Linked DNA regions of Schizosaccharomyces pombe. Changing the gene in region 2 together with the main gene of any one other region gives a genetic interaction. Each region holds a gene or a part of one and is shown on either strand. Other genes may lie near its edges.

Region 1 (7,807 bases), 1.4 Mb from region 2:
CAATTCTATTTTTCAAAGTTTCCTTCATCCTTATAGCCTCTTCTACAGCAATATCACAAAATGGATTAATCTTTTCACGATTAGTCAAATATAAATTGCGAATTACAGCAGTACTGAAATGATTACTCTCCTTTCAACATACACTCATTTTTTGCCCCGATAAATCAACAGCAGTCTTAGTGGCATTGATGCGAGGCTTTAACATATAGTCTAGAGTTCGCTTGACTCCTACTAAAATGCGAATTTTCGACATTTTTGCGATATTGCTATGCGGTGGTCAAAGACTGGAATTGAAGAAGGTAGAAAGTTGAATATGAAACCTTCATACATATTCCATATTATTTATTAATGTTGTTAATTTTATACTTTTTAAAAAAAATAGTTTTTATTATTTAAATATTGCACAATTTCCGAGTTTAACTAGTTAGGAAGTTTTTTAATTTTAAGTAAGAGGAAATAATGTCTATCAAAATTTACATATTCCAAACAATTCCAACTTCAAGAGAAATCATGATTGCTAAAAAAAAGTAAAATTTGCTTTAACTATCAGATTGCTATATGCAATCTCACACTTCAAAAAAGTACAAAATAATTCTAGTTTTTTTGAGTGCAATCTTTTCAAATTTAAAAAATTTTCTTACTTTTCTCACGTAAGGAAATTCACTTAGTTGATTCGTTTATAAGCGATGAGTGCAACATTTTCTAAAGTCGTTTCTTCACCAACGTAGTATACGAGAGAAGATTCATAACCCATTTTTTCGCATTCTAATTTTCTCATGTAATTGATAATATGCTTGCACTTCAACCCAATTTTTACGCGTTCCTCATGAGAAAGACCACTGATGTGTGAGTCGGCTCCTCCAGAAGCATGCATATGCTCACGCAAACTGTTTACAGCCCACCCAGTCATCTGTCGTAATATTTGAAACTCTTGTGGATTTGAAATTCCCCAATGACTTAATTGTTCTCTAGCAAAGGTTGAAAGTGTTCTCCATCGGCAATGATGATGACAACAAAGGGCAATTACAAGAGCATTAGGAGGGGAGGACTTTAAGCAATTCAAGGTAAGGTCTGTGGCAGCACCACATAAATGCTTAGAATATGCAAATACAGGTTTACCACTATTCCGAAATTCACTAGCAAAAAAATCGAGTTTCAAATCCTTAATATCAATTTTACACCTTATAATTTTTGGCTCAGGCCAGTTATTTTTGATGCTATCTTTTAATATCCTGCTATCATGCTTCGTTCGATTTGAATCACGATCAATAAGTATATATACGTTTTCTTGTTGGGAGCAGTGCTGAACATATCTTGATAACTCGGCTCTTCCAGCACCGAATTCGTAATATATAGATCCTTGGTTGTCAAAATAATGTAGTTTTTCCATATGTCCTAACAATGATGCCTAAAATGGTTAATGCTTTTGACTGCCGTTAAGAAATCATGTCGAACATACCTGCTGAATTGCATGCTTTTTTTTTGTACCCTCTTCACTGTTAAAAATGAAGTTAGTTTCTACTTTTGCAACCATCTTCTTAATAAAAAGCTAATGAGAAAGCACTTCGTACATACAGTCTTGCATTCATTGCCGGGTGAAACAACACCTTTTTTTGAGGAGTCGGTAAAGAATCACTAATTCTGTTGAACAAACAAATCCATTTTGACAACTCTTCCTTGCTTAAATCGACGATTTCAAAGGAGGAAGATTCTGAAGCATCTGTTGAAGTAGAGATATTTATGTCCTTCTTGTAATATGGATCGGTCCTTTCAACAGGACGCGCGTTACAACGCTTCAAATGATATTCTAAACGATGTCGCACAATTGTATGCTTGTGATCATATGGACAGGGGATTTGTTTTAATTCTTCCTGAGTAAAAATTTTTTTTATTCGTGCCATCAAGTTAGATAACTTTTTAACTCTTAAGTGATATTAGCCTGAATATTGATCACAAAAGTAAATCTTAAAATACAATAATTTTATTTTTCTTGTAAAATTTGGTCTTTTTCAGTCCTTCGGATAATTTACAACACTAATGAAAAATAGCTTTCCGATTCGGCAGTTCAGACACTTCAAAATAAAGTATTTTCGCGTTTTTCTCTTTATTACAGTTGTTTCCAACCCAGTCCCAAACTTTCTACTACTTTTATAGTTTTCTGTACCAGATGTGCGATTTTACGAAGAAATCTGATGTTTCCAACCATTGGCGTGCTCATAAAAAAAATTCAAATACGGAATCATGAAACATTTATATAAATTGATCATGCGTTCTAAAAAAGTAGTTTAAGCTTGACCTTGAAGAACGCAACTACTTTTTAAAAACCTCTGTTTTATACAACATTCCGGGAAAAGACAATATCCTAAGTATCACTTCCTTAAATATACCAAAGCAAAGAAATAATTAATTACAAAAGAGCAAACTGTGTTGACATTTGTGAAAAAAGTGTATATGACATATACACCGATTTTGAAATATTGATATATTGATTTTACTCTGAATTTCTTATCAGTAGCTTAACTATTTAATTCTGAGTAAAAAATAGGAGTCTAAGTAAAGTTCTTTTGATTTCAAACCCTTCTTTGTAGGAATCGTCGACATTCGTCCTTCTCAGAGCCATATTCTATCCCTAAGGGTATTAAGGAGTCAAATAGACGATAACCGCCAGTATCAGTACTGATATCGTCAAATAGTCATGAGTTCTATCCTTGGTAAAAGGAAAAATGAAGAAGTCGTATCTTTTAGCCCTTTGAAACGAATTTCTGTTGAGAAATCGCTTTTGGATAGCACTGCCTATAATAATTCATTGGATTGGCTCAGATCTAAAAATTTCAAGGTCTCGTGTCTACTTAAACATTTTAATTCTAAAATTATCAACGGTACGAAGCTTTTATTTCTTCACTGTGCGCATTACTAGGTAACTAACATCTCTATTCAATTTAGACCATCCTTTAAGTGGATCATGCTACACAGACATCGGTTATGCATTAATTAATTCCCGAAAAGCTTGCTTTATTTTGTCGTATCGTCAAAGCTTGGGAACAGCAGAACCTCCAACTATAACATTTCCGCTACCTGAAGAGGACTCAAATGGCTTTTCCGGGCAAAATGCCTTGACAGCCTTCGTCCCTTCTGATGCTTCTGACAAAGAACCTGGATTGCTGATTGTAATGCCTATCTCTGGTCGTATAGCATATTGGACTTCAATTGGGAATGCTCTCGCTCAATCTTATATATGTCCCCAGGGAATGGAAAGTTTGATAAAGTTACTCCCCAAAGAAAAATGTGAGCATTTATGTTGCTCAAACCCCATGAAGTTCATCATATCTACCAATTTTGGTCGTCTTTTTTCTGTTCAACTGCGCGATCCTGCAGGTCAACCTGACGTTTCTGTACAATTATTTGCTTCCGATATTAGTACTTTTTCTACTATTCTTCAGAAAATGAAGATTTTTAACTACCCTAGCATTCATATCATTGCTTTAAAATCCCCACCACTGTTCTCTCCATACCAACATCTTTTGTATGTCGCTGAGGCATCTGGTTTACTAGAGATATATGATTTGAAGTTGGAAAATAAGCTTGTTTCTGGTATGAATCTGTCTCCTATTTTTAAGCAGGTTTTGAGAGAAGGATGCCCCGATGCAAGCGGACTTGAGGTGTTAGACCTTACTATATGCCCCACAAACGGAAATCTAGTGAGTTTTTTAGTATGTTGGAAAAATTCTATTAATTACCGTTACATGATTATTTCTCTTGATTTTTCTGACATTTCCTCACCCTCGGTAATGAATATTCATCCATTGTATTCATTTTCTTCTAAATCTCTTGAGTCTTCAAAGCTACATTATTCATCATCAGGGAATTCTTTATTTGTGGTTTTAACAGACGCTGTTATTATAGTGCACGTCCAAGAGGATGATAAAGATATTGTATCGAGAACATCATGGGAAGAGGTTATTCGTATGAATACTAATGTCTCTGGCGGCATATTTATGTCTACTTGCTACAAATACGTTTTAGGAAAATACTCTATTCCTACGGAATCATGTTTTATAGCAACCCCTTATTCTGGTATCGCTGAAATAGAAGTTCATAGTTTGGAGCATCCTGCAAATAACGAATCTCTCGTAAAAAGCAAGTTGGAAGAAGCTGTTTTTTACTCCTTCCTTCCTGGTAATCCGATCGATTTTTCCTGCAATTACCTTCGCTCCATCAAAAAGCCTGAACTCGAAAGGATTATTGTCGATCTTGGAATGGACATCTTGAATTCAAGGTCTACTCATTTACCCCCATTATTTGCTTCTTTAATGCAGCATCTGTCCTGTAGGTTAAATTCTTTGAATAATCTTGTCCGGTATATTAGGTCTATGTCACTGGATGTTGATCGTCAAGTACTATACAAGTTGAGAGTAATGGGCGAAAAATGCAATTCTGTTAGATATTTATGGAATACTATCGATACTGAATTTAGTACTGTTAGTCATTCCCTAATTTTTCAACGCATAATTTATAGACTCACTCAAAGTGCTTCGTCGGATAACGCTTTGAGAGAGTGGTTTTTGCATAATATTGAAAGCATTGATCAACTGATAGCGCAAGCACATGAATTTTGCATAGATTCAGGTTCTCGAGTTCAAGAACTTCCATTGGAAGTTCTTGATGTAATTATGGAAGCTAATGAAGTAATTCTGGCAATTCAATCTTCGGCTTTGGCTTATCGCCGTGAGTCCCAGAAGATTTATAAGCTAAGTATTGATACCTTTGGAGAAGAGGTTCCTTGGACGTCAACGCCAGAAACTTTAGTTTTGCTGTGTCGACAGTTTGAACTTACTCGGTCAGCGCTTGTCCAGTCACATCAAGGAACCTCGGATGTGGAGAATACTTTTAAAATAAAGGATAAAGGGGTGCTAAGAAATGTCGTTTCAAATTTAGAAGTACAATTAGTGGCCTTGACAGAGGTTTGCTTTGACGCGTACTCAGAAAGGATTAGATGGATAGAACAACGTTGTGGTAAGGATGCTAGTGAAATTCAAGATGTCAAGGAAGCTTTTGCAGTTAATCGCAGATTTTGGGTTCAAACTTTATCAGATATAGGTAAAGGCAGCAGTGCCATTCGAATCGCTGAAAAATACTCAGACTATCGTTCTTTAGTAGAATTGTGCTATCAACTTTATGAGGACAATGAGCTCACGGATGCACTAAACAATTACCTTGATCTTTTTGGTATAAAATTCGCATTTATATTATATGACTATTTTGTTGAAAATGGCATGGCATTAGAGTTGCTTAATAGCGACAGGTTCAACAAATCTTATTTGAAACAATTTTTTAAATCTCGAGATTACAACCAGATTTCATGGATGCATGATATGAGGTTAGGAGACTACGATGCTGCGTCGCATAGATTGCTACAGTTGGCTACTAAACAAGAAAAGCTGGTTGATAAAAAGGAATCTGAGCTTTCATTAAGTAAATTATTTCTTTATGCAGTTCCATCCAACTCTGGAAATATCAGAGATTTGGTTTTAGTGGAACAAAAGCTTGAGCAACTACATATTCAAAAAATGGTTTCCAAAAGTGTTATGCCAGTCGTTGAACGGCTTCGTTCTCAGGGGAAAAAATACCAGCTTGTAGAAGCTGTTGTGGATGATTTGATTGGTGCCAAGGTAGCGCCTGTTATCGCTCGTCAGGTTATGCAGCGCGTAGTCAAAAAGTTCATTGCCGGACAGGTGGTTGAAGCAACTGAACTGTTGGAGTACCTCAGCTTTTCTTTATACCGTCGAGAGGACCTTGTAGAAGGTGAAGTTACCGACTATTATCTTGCTTTGCGTCTTCTTTTAACCACCAGATTAACGGACGATGCCAAGAGATTTTATGAAAATACCATTTGGAGACGAGCTGTTTTACATGACAACTGGATCCAAGTTTTGGATACCCAGGGTAAAAACGATGCAATTATAGAAACCCAATTCCGAATGTCAGCACTATATCGGACTCTAGAGGCTGTGACCATAAACGGACTTTTTCATGAAGGACTTATCCGACCTGGTTCGCTTTCTTCTTGTAAGTTTGAAGGATATGATCCTCAAAATCTCATTTCTATTTACCCACCCGCTCGCTTTGGAGATGTGACTGAAGTTACCAAAGTACTTAATCGTGAAAGCGTAAAGTTGGATCATTATCTTACAAAAACTAATTTAAATACTTGCTATATTAGTATGTGTTTAAGTTGCGATACGATTTAACCTTTATCTTAATCATACAAACCCATTAGATAATAAAAGAATTTTGGTTAGATAGGTTTCATCCGAGTCCCTTGATCATTGTCAATTTTGTTAGCTAATGAATCTAAAATAAAATTTTGTTTACCACTAACTCAAACTAGAAAGTATACCATTATATCTATTTTCAGCTTTCCAACCTTATACTACGCTAGCTTGGTATATCGGTGGAAAACCCAGTACTGCTTACTTGTCCACTACCAAGTACAGTGTTGGCTGCCTCGGATTCCTCTGAGGTTGTCAACTGTAAACGAAATAATTGAACTGTCACTTTCTTTGTGTTTTTCATGGAATCTTTGTGGATTTTAGCGGCATCTACTTCATTTTTCTACCCGTAACCATCTTTAACTTTCGAGTGCGAAAGACATCAACATTTAACAAACCGGAACGCTCTTTTAATCAAAAACATTTTAAAGAAAACTGCATTTAACATAGTGGAATATTTAAAAGACCATCATGTCAACTACTTCGTCTCACTCCAACGTCGTTGGTGTTCATTACCGCGTTGGTAAAAAGATTGGAGAAGGATCTTTTGGCATGTTATTTCAAGGTGTAAATTTAATCAATAATCAGCCAATTGCCCTAAAATTTGTATGTAATTATTTTTAGAGAGCAATCCAGATTCTCAATTTCAGTACTAACGTTGCATTCTCACAGGAGTCCAGAAAAAGCGAGGTTCCTCAACTTCGTGATGAATACCTTACTTATAAGCTACTAATGGGTTTGCGTAAGTATTCACTATGGTTGCTATACTGATTTTCGTCAATTTCCTAACATTTATCCCTAGCTGGAATTCCGAGCGTGTATTATTACGGTCAAGAAGGCATGTACAACCTTTTGGTCATGGATCTTCTAGGACCTAGTTTAGAGGACCTTTTTGATTATTGTGGCAGACGTTTTAGTCCTAAAACCGTTGCCATGATTGCAAAACAAATGGTAAGTTTGTAAACGTCTATCCGATTGTTGTCGGATTGGCTTTATGTGATTACATTTTAACAGGGTTAATCAGATCACCCGTATTCAATCTGTTCATGAGAGACATTTTATTTATCGTGACATTAAACCAGATAATTTTTTAATCGGGTTCCCTGGAAGCAAAACCGAAAACGTTATCTATGCCGTCGATTTTGGCATGGCTAAGCAATATCGAGATCCAAAAACTCATGTTCATAGACCGTATAATGAACATAAGAGTCTATCTGGTACTGCACGTTATATGTCTATCAACACACATCTTGGTCGTGAGCAATCACGAAGAGATGATTTAGAATCCATGGGACACGTTTTCATGTATTTCCTTCGAGGTAGTCTTCCCTGGCAAGGGTTGAAAGCTGCTACAAATAAGCAAAAATACGAAAAAATTGGTGAAAAGAAACAAGTCACTCCTTTGAAAGAGCTATGCGAAGGATATCCAAAGGAATTTTTACAGTACATGATTTATGCTCGGAATTTGGGTTACGAAGAAGCTCCAGATTATGACTACCTACGAAGTCTGTTCGACAGTTTACTGCTTCGCATCAATG
Region 2 (6,064 bases):
AACACATACTCGTCGGGGTGTTGATTGATCTTCATCGTCTTAAAATTGCCATCCATTTCATTTTCTCTTGCTATCTTCTCTTCAGCATGAACATCATAAGGTGACGCTAGTGATGGTAAAGCATAGCCATGTAAGGTTTTTGAAGCTTTCGAAGGTTTCGACACTTCGTCCGAACGAATATTCAACTTTTCGAGTTTCTCCACATAAAGACTCTGCGGAGAAGGTGGGTGGACAAAAACAGACTTTGACTTCGTATCAGTCAACGTTGAATCAGTCGGGACGGATTCACCACTTGAAGCACTCACTGCCGTTTCATCGCTCTCTACGCTAAGTTTGCTAACTTTTCGATTTGGTAAACCTTCACCGTCTGAAAATTTATTACACAATTCAGAAGGGCTTAGCTTCTTTCCGTCCAAAGATGTGTGCAGCAACTTGTTCATGCAATCCGCCACTTGATTCGACGTGCCGTTTTTTTGCTGTAACGATGTAATTTGGCCATCTTTATCAATAGGTGTAGTCCTTAGAGATGACGCATTAGCTCTGTATTTCATTAATGTTGCAGTCGTATGTAAGGCTCTGCTTGATAATTCTTTACGGAGAGTAGGTCTTTTCAATATCGGTTGTTGTGTAGTTAGAGTGAAACCCGGACACGATAACGTTTGCAAGGGCTTGCTAATTCCTAACTTAGGAATATGAAGTAGGGGGGATTGTGATGCTTCAATTGTACAATCTACAAACATCTCAGCGGTACTGCTTTCAGGTTGTTCATTATGATCCACAGGACTTGTAACACGCATTTTCTGCATAGAGTTTACTACGGTTTGCATGTGTCTTTGATAACGAGCATCCATGTCACGCAGTTGCTTTTCCAACTCACGTCGCAATATCTCTTCACGTTGGGCTAAGCGAGAAGCTATAACGTTTTCGAGTTCACTTTCCCGAGCAGAAAGCCTTTGCTCGCGAAATTGGAGATCATTTTCCAATTGAATAAGCATCTGATGTTTTTTATGAAGCAAATCGCTTTGTTCCAAGACTACTCTCTCGGATTCCAATTTACTACGAATATCGGATAAAATAGGAGAGCGAAGTAGCTGGTAAGTAGTAGGTCTGAGGTCTGAATTAACTTCTAAGCAATGCCTGATTAGAAGGAAAACATCGTCGCTGTAATGATGATCCCAACAGGAGAGATTACCCTGGCAAATATTACGTTGCAATTCCAAATACGACCTTCCTTCAAAGGGATGCGTAAGCATGCAGATCTCAAAAATAACACAGCCAAGAGCCCAAACATCAGACTTCGCACTGTAAGGGCTGCTCCGAATTATTTCAGGAGACATATAGTATGGAGTTCCCACGTAACTCTGTGTGAAGACACGCGTATTGTCCAGCAATTTGGATAAACCAAAGTCTCCTAACTTAACTGAATTATTTTCATCAAGAAATATATTCGCAGGTTTGATATCTCGATGCAATACAGATTGTTTAGGATGAAAAATTTCTCTTGGCCACTGTGAGTCACAAGCAGGCGCATTTTCTCCATAATGGCAGCGATACAGAGCAAGTAGTAATTGCGTAAAAAATTTGAGAACCTCTTGCTCGGTAAATCTCTTTTTCTCTTCTTTATAACGTTGAATAAGATTGGCTAAATCACCATGACCACAATATTCCATATAAAGGTTTATTACCTGCGCAGAACGATTCAATTCTTCTCCGCAGTATTGAACAATATTTGGATGCTTAAGATTACGAAGAATATTCACTTCATCTGCGATGTACTGCTTTTCCTGCCGAGTAATGTTACCAAAGTGTATTTCCTTCTGAGCCAAAAGCTAAAAAGTATTAATAACTATAAAAATAAATTGCTTTCAAACTTACAGCACCATCCTTTAAGCGTTGAACCTATAATAGTTAGCATAATGCATAAAAAAGGAGTTGCAAAAAAAAATATCGATCAAAGTTTCAATTTGAAAAACTGTTTTGAATAGAGTACAAACAATAGCGAAAAGCATTTAAATCAATATAGTTTCCCTGTTTCTTAAGAAAACAATTGATTCAATGCTATAGATTCATTTGCCAACCACAAGTAGTTGCTCGCAAATAAACTGAAAACAAGAAAGAATTTTGCTATCCAATAACCAATTTCAGTGAAAATAAGATTAAAACTTACTTTATAAATCCTTCCAAAACTCCCATGTCCAATACACTCAAGAATCTTGTATTTTTCCATACTTCAGAACAGAAGTAGCCCATGAGATTCAGGTAAGCTTAAAATAAAACTAAATTTCTCGGTAGGACCTTTAAAGAAAAAGAAAAATTCTTCTATCAATTAATAATATAAAAAATACTGCTTGGAGTGATTGAGTGCTAAGTATATGAATTTCAAGCCAAGATGTTTATGTTTGGTTCTTCTGCAGTGTCTCGTTAAATCATCAAGTGTAAACAATGTTGCCATGGTTAGGAGTAACACTGTTACTTCAGGTGCTTATTGCTACGATTATAATATATATCCAGTCGCATTTTAATTTCTGTAAGAAAAAGATACGCTATTCAATAAGCAATGAGAAAAAGTTGTGGAGAATTTTTATCATCTATAATGCCTTTTATGACATGATTGTATAAGGTTTGTTGTAAATGAGCTTGGAATTTAACAGAGTCCTTTAAATCAAGTTTTAAAAAAATGAATAGCTAAACGTATTAATATTAGTTTGAGGCTTTCAAAAGATTTATCTGCATGTTTTATAAAAATCAATAGCATTAACAATAAACTGTTATTTTGCGTTAATTGGTTTTAGTGATCTACGCTAGGCTTCATGATTCATTCCATGCAAGCCATCTCCTTCAAATGAACTTACCGCTAATTTATATACGTTGCAAAACATATGTTACACAACAGTCTATCACAAGACTCTAGTAATATTGCCGGAAACATGTCTTTTGGGGGAAGTGGTTCTATCACGAATCGATCAACCTTAAAGCCACTTTCTGTCGATGATTTACGTTCGCCCTCTCCTCAAAAAGAATATCGTGGATTTCGAACATCTGTTTCTAACATTCCACAAGAAAAAAAATTTGTTCCCAGTCATCTTTCACACTTTGGATCAAGTCAGCAGCGTCGATTTGCCCCAGAGGTTAGCTCGCCTTTAGCAGAACCATATGAGTCATCGTAAGTAATTTCTTTGAAGAGTTTAAGGGACATTTGAAGACGGAGGATTAAAAAATTGTTTAGTATAATTGCTTTTTTACCTAATATCTATCTATATCCAAATTTGTTAGAGCTTCAGCCTAATCCCTATGAATTTTTAAATATTAGACATAAACTCTTAGAACCTTTACTAATTTTCTCTAAATAGCTCTTCCTTCCGTTTATCTCTCTCGAGTCCCCCTTCTTCAAAATTCGGCGGACCCAGCTTTGGTACACCGAAACCGTTTTTGCATACAAATCGTTTAGGTACCGGATCTTTAATTGAAGATGCTCCTCCTACTCAATCCATTTATGACTTTTCTTCCTCTAGGCAAATTAATGCTCTCAATGTTGGACAAAGTTCTTCCCCTTTTTCTCCTGTCTCTGAAAAGGTATACGACCCTTCTTTTACCATGTCTGGCGCTCCTCAAGATTCAAATACCTCCGTTATCGTTTTCGGTTTCCCACCAGAATTGACAAATCAAGTAATAGCTGAATTTTCTCGTTTTGGAACTATTATTAGCGAGAATTCATTAACTGCTTCAAGTGCCGGATTCACTCCCTCCAAGGGTCCCATATCTGGTAACTGGCTACAATTAACATATGCTGAGCCTTCTTCTGCTGCCAAAGCAGTTTTGTCTAACGGAATGTTGATAAATGACTCTTTTATGGTTGGATGTATATACAGCCCCGCAGAAGCGAAGGAGCATGTTCCGAAAACGTTAAGAAACAGCAATAAAGACTTGGAAATGACGGATGCCTCTTCCTCCGAAACCTCAATGTCTATTCCCGTGCATGCTGATGCCCATTTCCAATCCCAATCTGGTCTTGGTAAAAAAGTCATTGTTCAACACAAAAATGATATTTTTAAATCTTCTCAGAAACATCAACCTCGTAATTGGTTATTTCATTATTTATTTGGTTTTGGTTCAACTGAGCCAATAGATGAGGAAGAAAAATCTAAAACTGCTTCTGACAACACTTCGCTTCAAACTTCTCTATTTGGAAAAATTGTTCAAGTCGTATTGCACACATTGTTTGGGTTTTAAACTTGTTGCTCAATTAATTTGGATGTTATGATTGCCAAAACTTGGTTATTTAGTCGATCCTACAGACAAAAAGCTTGAAAGGTTTTCATATGTACAGTACATTTTTGGGTTATAATACTTTGTTATATGATTTGCTTTTGACAAGGTTTTTCGTTGGAATTCTCAAACATTATTGCTTTAATATATGAGGAATTTCTGAAGTGAATTTAATTACTTATTTTTTAAGGCCTTTCAGAATTAAGCGTACTTTTCATATCTGATTTGTTTCACGATTTTTACAATCGAAGTTTAACTTACGAATTTTTGTTACTTTGTTTTTAAAAATACTACGGACCAGTGGAACTTTCGAATAAAATACTTAAAAACACCTGTGATGAAATAGCGTTATGGCATTCAATCACTGTTTGTTACTACATAAAACGTTTACGCTTCAACCGTTAACAAGAAAGTTTCAACGGTTATAGTTGCTATATATATTATGCAAGTATTACTAACCTTGAAAAGATCAAGAACGAAAAACCGAACGTTACTTATGTGCTTTACTCTAATGGTTTTAAAATCAAATCAAAAAAATTGATAAATTATTTATGTTACAACATTGGAGTTCCTAATGATATGAATTTCTAATTTAAGAACATGAAGTTGCGGTCGAATACATTACAAAAAAGAAAAGAAAATTAGTATTATCACATAATTGCTTATATTAAATTACGGAAAACATCATGTTATCGATGGGTAGTTCCCAATAAATACTTTTCATATAATTTACAAGCTTCAAATAGAAAATTTAAGATAATAAGCGGATAGTTAACTTTGTACTCTGTGTCGAGTCAACTGTAATTTAAAAATTGATTTAACATAATTTTACTGTAGTTATGCTTCATGCACCACTTTAAATACGGTTAAGTTTAATATAAGAACGGTTACCATATTTAAATGCGAAATGCGATGAAGCTCAAACTTCATTCCTCACAAATTAAGAATAATTAGCAAAAAAGGAAATTTTAAAGTAAGGGTTCAGCGTCGATTAAAGTTTCTAATTATATTCAATACCAAAGTGAATTTTATGATTTGCGAAATCATTTTACATACTTGACCCAAAACCTCAAATCTAAATTCACATTGCTTTGCTCTTGTAACGATTAATATATTAAAAAAAAGATAAAATTGAGTAATACAATAAACTCGTCTTTAAAATATACCTATATCGTTTGGCGCTGTAATTTAACATCGATCATTCCTAAAACTTAATTTTATTTCATTATTAGTTCACTTTGCTCACCACCAAAAATGGAAAGAGTGCAGAAAATTTCTTTGCAATAGTCTAAATTTTTAATTAAATCTGGCACGCTTCAAATGTGCATTTGCATTTCGTAAACGAATGAAAGGGATATCTGATTTAATAATATGATCGATAAGTTTTGTTGGTTGGATTCGAGGACCTAAAAGATAGTTAGTCAATAAACGCGCAATTATGCAACATACCAGTTATTACTTGAGGAGCTGGGAGTTCATCCAAAAATTCGGTTATTATAGATGGTAACGGTACCGGAACAGTTGGAAGTGCTGAAGTAGGTGGATTCGATGCTCCTTGAGTGTTTGCTAATTCCAAAGACGCAGGAAGTAAACGAGTATCTTCCATTTCGACGTTACTTTTAGAAGAGGTAGAGGCTATAGAAACTTCATCATCTTCCCTGTTGTTATGAACATGGCCCGGGAATCCATTTCCTCCATTTAAGCGAACAGATAGTTCTCTAATTTTTTCCGCTTCTTTTGTTTCCCGTTCTTCTTCCTCAGCATCATCCTTCAAGCCATAGCGCGATAAAAATATGGC
Region 3 (5,591 bases), on a different chromosome or scaffold from region 2:
AAAATTTGTAGTACGATTGGCAAGGTAATGCAATTGGGTGATCTATAAAGCGAAAAATAGAGTGTGATCCACCAATATGAAAAATAGTGCTATAAAAATCTGGGGTTTTTTAAATCAATAAAATATTAGATAATTTGGTAGTTTGCTTCCTCTTTTTCCTTTAAATAAATAAAATACTTCACAAATAACCAAATGTCAATTTTGCAAAACAATAAATAAATAAATGAGTCTAACGTTTGGAATTAAGTATCCTCATTGTTCAAAAAACACACATCCGGTTATACAAACCCTAAAGTGTCCGACGAAAGCCAGGAATTAAGCATATTGTTCTTCAATACGCTTTCGAATACGAAGTGCATTTAGCAAGTGTTTCCACTGCCCATAAATAATTTTTCTCTCTTTCATCTGCTGCTTCTCTATTCTGATTTTTTCACACTCAAGAAATTCTTCGTAAACCATTTGAGCCGACTCTTCAGGTACAATTATACCTGTAGTAACTGGAATCGCACGATGTTTACGAAATTCAAACCCTGTAACTGCATCCGCATAATCAATGTTGAGTTTCTTGGCAATTTTAGCAATTCCTCGATATGGCAAATGTGCTGCGCCCTTGGGGATCATGCTCTCAACAAAACAATCCATATTACCATAACCGTTCTTAGGAATAATACCATCTTTGATTGGAGGCGGAACATATAGCTCAGTTTGATCGGAAGAATATAGACCCTGAAGCACTGGTTCATTTGTTTCAGCAACCCGAAATTCGTGTTCACGCTTCCTGCTAATTGTGACGGCTCTCGCCTTCACCATTTTTCGAGGTTGTTCTCCTTCCTTAATTACTCGTCCTTCTTTGTGATAATTTTCAGGCGTTTTGCATATGACCACATCTTTTCGGAGATACACTTCCTCAGAGGTAGCTTTCTTACCGTTACCAAAGGTTGCTGTCTTCACAGGCTTGGCGTTAGGAAGCAATGCTTCTTCTCTTCTAAGATGTCTAATCAATACAAATTCAGGATGATTCTTAAAATCTGCAAAGCTTTTAGGTTCGCGAATGGGCACTTTACTTTCCAGTTCTTTCTCTTCATATATATCCTCTGCATCTTTATTGCGCTTTGCTAGTTGCCCAAAAATAGCCTTATAAAAATCAAAATACTTATCTGCAAAAGAAACGTGTCGAATTTTCTTAAGCCTACTTGATTGGTAATCTGTATACCTCAAAGTTACATCTTTTGCGTATAAATCGTTATCATATGCAGCAACAATACCCATTCGTAGATGTTTTGACTCTGCATACGCTCCTTTGGGTTCAAACCAAGTCATATCGTTGGTATATACCCCATTCAAGACAACCGCATCTACCGCAATCCATTTCTTCTCACTTTGATCATAGATTTCCGTCCAAAAAATAGGATAGCGGAGGTCGTCATCTATAGATGTACTAGTTTCTTCAGGGAGGATATGTGGAGACCAATCATCATAGGAAGCAGTAGAAAATGTCAAAGGTTGAAGAGAAAATATAAGTCTTGCTTTCAGATTCAGAGATCGACAGAGAGCAGTAAATCCCTGTGCCGCCAAATCCCGGCTTCCTTTTAGCGAAAGTAAGGATGCTTGGTATTCATGAAAGTTATGAAATATTTCTGGCGAAAAGCCGATATCAAATCCTTGTTTCAAAGTACGATACCCCAACTTCCGAAGCCCATGACTCTCAATTTTAAAAGATTTATTCCACCACATCCGAAGCCCATTTAACAATTTTAACAAATCCTCGTGCGTCTGGCTACTACAAACCCACGCCTCCACTACGGACGGTTGCTTTTCGACAAGCAAATCGCGCAGCCCATCAAGAAGTAAGGAATTCATTAACCAGCGATTCCTTACTGACCCATGGTACAACAAGCAAGTAAAGTGCATAATGTGAATAGATAATCGAATGCTTTTATCCATTGCACTAGAAGAGCCTTTCTTCGATTCTTTTGTAAGTTGAGGAGTGATATGCTGTGTGACTATGTGTAAATCTTTTTTATCTTCTTGTTTATTAGGAGAAAGATCAACTTGTTCCCAAGTGTCAAAATCGTCGTCAAACTCGTCATCTTCTGAGCTGCCTAACTTCTCATTGTCTTCATCGGAACCTTTTTCGGATGAAGATGCGCTCCTTTGAAGTGAGTTTAACGCTGATATATTGTCATCTAAACTCTCAGAAGGAGGTTCCGCTGAGGAAGACAAACTTGGCTTTTTCGACTGGCTACGAGTTTGACGGTGAGTTGAAGATACAACAGTTTCCTCTTTCACTTCAGGATTAAGAGGTAAGTTATTGGTCCGTGTCCTACGTTTCCTTCCGCGAACAGAGTTCTTGGATGCTTTGCGTTTGGGTGGCATTGAGCAAAGAGTTTATGTGAATTGAATCAACTTTAGGATAATGCTTGTTTAACCGCTGGTTCAAATAATATCAATAACGATAAATTGAATAAAAAGTTGTAATCACAGCCACATCTGATATATTCTTAGTTAAAGAATTATTATTTCAAGCAATCTCTCCAACAAGAAAGCAAAATTCTAACAATGGCTGTGATGATGATTATTAAAAAGTCCTTTGAAAAAGAGGTCAGTATCAACTGCGCAAGAATGGCGAGTAGTTTGTTTGCTGAATATTATGAGCTATATTAACTACTTTTGATTTCAACCGTGAAATAAAGATTTAAAAAATTTAAATCTGAAACATAACATGAAAATAAATTATTAAATAAAAAGTTAAACCACATGCATCACTATTAATAAGAGACAATAAACATAAGTCAAAAAAAACTTCAGCCGTTAAATTTTAAGGAAATAATTCATTAATTAGTAAAACGTCAAACGAAACTGTTTAAATTTATGTCACTGATCGAGCTTATATTTCCTAAAAATAGGAATTTTAAATCGACGACTGATTTTGCACAGCAGTAGTAGTGGTAAAGTTGAAACCATCAATAACACCAATACTTAGGAACATCAACCTGCGAAAGCAAATTCTTTTTTTTTTCTTTTTTATTGCACACTTGTTTACGTACCGGATTTAAAAAGTTATCTTAATAAAAAACTTTTTATCCTTCATTGTTGCAATTGAAGTCGATAATAGCAAGCTCGACCTAGCTAATTAAAAAGCCTTTGCTACTCTAATTAATACGTAAGGTTTGAATCCTGAAACGGAGAAGTGCCCTAATTTCGTTCATTAGTATACGAATATCGGAATTTACCTTTCAGGTCCATGGTTTGTTTCATTTCTAATTCGGCGTTGTTTTATACTCAAAAAGTACACCTGAATTTCAAAACATTGCTTAAAAATCTTTTCAATGGGAAAGTTAATCCGTCGTACATCGCTGACTTCTAAAATAATCAATCTTCCGATCGATTACTTTATCTATGTTTGCGAACAATTTGACAGTGTAGAGTGGGATAAAGTATCAGATCGTTATTCGATTCCCTTTAGCTTGGCTGTCAATTTTATTTTTCTCTTAATGCGCATTTATATAAAAAGTACGCATGTACCAGTTCAACGCAACCAGCTCTTTGTGGATAAGCAGTCCATCAACACCTCTAGGTCCTGGTTTCGTGCCTTCCTATCATTTCTCTCAATTTGTTTTCTTTTCATCAGCTTTCTCAATTTCATATTTAGCACTCGATTTCAAAATAAGCTGTATAGAACTTTGCCTCAAGACAAACGCACGACGACTTCTACTCCCAATGTAAAACCAGTTTTCCAGCACTCAAATAATGATGATGGCGATGAACAAGTTTTTGAATTGAAAGTATGGAGCCCAAATCAATTTTTACTAAATTTTGCTTGCTTATTTTCTCCTGCTCATGCCTTGATTTTATGGTTTTATAGCACTTCTCTACGCGTGACTTTGTTGACTTTTCTCCTTTCGTTTACAACATTGCATTTTGTCAATAAATTTTCCTTACTGCTGAAAGATCAACAATATCTTCATCGCCAGGTATTCTTTGAGTATGATAAGAAATTTGTAGAACCTCGACTTTCGGTAGTTAAACGAGATGTTGCCATTAATACTACTCGTGGTCCCACAACCGCATCTATTGAATATTTCACACCCCGAAAACCCATAGATACCTTCCTTGAACACCGAAGTTCTTCACATGATCATCTCACTTCAACACCCCGTACCCCTATAGCGCTTCAAAGAAGAAGTGTTCATCATCTTCATGACAGCGGAATTAGTCGTGACAGCAGCTCACCATTTAAGAGATTTCCACATCTTAGTGATGGTAGTTCTCGCTTTTAATATTTGTCTGAATTACATGGTTTTTGAATGACCCACTGCATTTCCATTTATCATTGTTGTTTCTGTTAATTCCTATTTTCGAAAAGTTTTAAGTCATAACTCAATTCAGACCTGAAATAATTGTATTCATGAAGACTAATTAGGGTATCAAACACCGTCATTCTAAAAACTTTCGATGATCGACTTAGAACCAAATCCTTATAATTTAAGCTTATTCAATATGATCTCTTATTAAAATCCTTACATGATTATAAATATGAATACTCTTGTTTGTTAGAAAATATATTTAAAAGTGATAATGTGCATCAATTTTGTATCTAAACTAATATGTAAAAATCGAAGCAAAATTTCTAAAAGGAAAATAAATTATATTAAACGTGCAAACCGATTAACTAAAATGATTTTTAGAAAAAACTCAGCTTTGTAAAAAAGGCAATTGTTATTTCTAACAAAAGACGCACAACAAAACAATTCGTTTCCGTGCAGCAAGTAGAAAATTACAAAAATTTTATCAATAAGGTCATAAATGAGAAAAATGAGAAAGTCCCAAAGAGATAGTTGAACAAGGTCAAGCAGTTTTAGGTTATAGCAGCCATAAAAATGGGAAGAGCTATTATGTAGATTTCATTCACAAGCAAATAGTGCGAACAATTATTCAACAAATTTGACGGATGAAGGAAAATAAATGAGAGTGAACAAACATAGAATAAGGCCAGCTTTAATTTCAAGTCAAAATTAATTTTCCTCTTCAGCTTGTGTCGTAACCCCATGAGCCCGACATAACGGGCAGGAATTATTACCAGTGGTAAGCCACTGATCGATGCAGGCCTGATGGAAAAAATGTTTACAAGCCTGCAACTTGCGACATATGTCACCGTTAGTATAAGTTTCTAAACATATTAGACAAGAATCAGCACTAGAAAGTGAAGCATCATCGAAATATGCAAAAAGTCCGCCCGATCGTTTCACATCTTCATGAGAAGCGACTGGTTTCTTCGCTGGACCCAGGTATGTAGTAAGAGCCAACAAGTCTTCATACATGGGATTATCGCTAAACAAGCTAACTGTAGACAAAACTGGATGATGTTCTGGAAACAGACCACCAAACACATAGATAAGCCAATCACCATGGGTGCTATTAGAGAAAGTTCCCTCTGAATGCGTTTGAGTAACCATGTCGGCAGCCCCATTGGAAGCCAACGTACTAAAGTCGCTAGTATTATCATCAACAGAAAGTTGTTCCTCAAATCTATAGCTCCGTGCTAAGCTAGAACGTCTAGTTTGATTAGACAGTAAATCTCGATCAGACGG

What was found.
Region 1: of nup40 (region 2) and nup132, changing one enhances a phenotype caused by changing the other (phenotypic enhancement), as found in Schizosaccharomyces pombe (2 studies listed by BioGRID, with this or other methods).
Region 3: mutations in nup40 (region 2) and nur1 together harm fitness more than expected from each alone (negative genetic interaction), as found in Schizosaccharomyces pombe (2 studies listed by BioGRID).

The regions. Positions count from the first base shown.
Region 1 is NC_003424.3:2,774,676-2,782,482, forward strand, and holds nup132 (nucleoporin, WD repeat Nup132), read left to right. Parts: upstream 1-2,612; 5' UTR 2,613-2,695; coding exon 2,696-2,879; exon of another isoform or gene 2,880-2,935; intron 2,936-2,943; coding exon 2,944-6,248; 3' UTR 6,249-6,378; downstream 6,379-7,807. Other genes in the region: etf2 (electron transfer flavoprotein alpha subunit), read right to left, coding at 1-70, 143-253; tRNA 2'-O-methyltransferase Trm13, read right to left, coding at 665-1,408, 1,460-1,496, 1,576-1,901; serine/threonine protein kinase (CK1 family) Cki3, read left to right, coding at 6,741-6,875, 6,942-7,011, 7,072-7,220, 7,294-7,807. UniProt on the Schizosaccharomyces pombe protein: Functions as a component of the nuclear pore complex (NPC).
Region 2 is NC_003424.3:1,350,523-1,356,586, reverse strand, and holds nup40 (nucleoporin Nup40), read left to right. Parts: upstream 1-2,853; 5' UTR 2,854-2,927; coding exon 2,928-3,163; intron 3,164-3,350; coding exon 3,351-4,230; 3' UTR 4,231-5,022; downstream 5,023-6,064. Other genes in the region: NIMA-like serine/threonine protein kinase Fin1, read right to left, coding at 1-1,829, 1,876-1,899, 2,168-2,227; cleavage and polyadenylation specificity factor complex subunit Rna14, read right to left, coding at 5,563-5,672, 5,716-6,064.
Region 3 is NC_003421.2:449,154-454,744, reverse strand, and holds nur1 (protein nur1), read left to right. Parts: upstream 1-2,981; 5' UTR 2,982-3,329; coding exon 3,330-4,280; 3' UTR 4,281-4,536; downstream 4,537-5,591. Other genes in the region: DNA repair protein Rhp42, read right to left, coding at 316-2,376; SPOM_SPCC4G3.12C (ubiquitin-protein ligase E3), read right to left, coding at 5,016-5,591. UniProt on the Schizosaccharomyces pombe protein: Has a role in meiosis.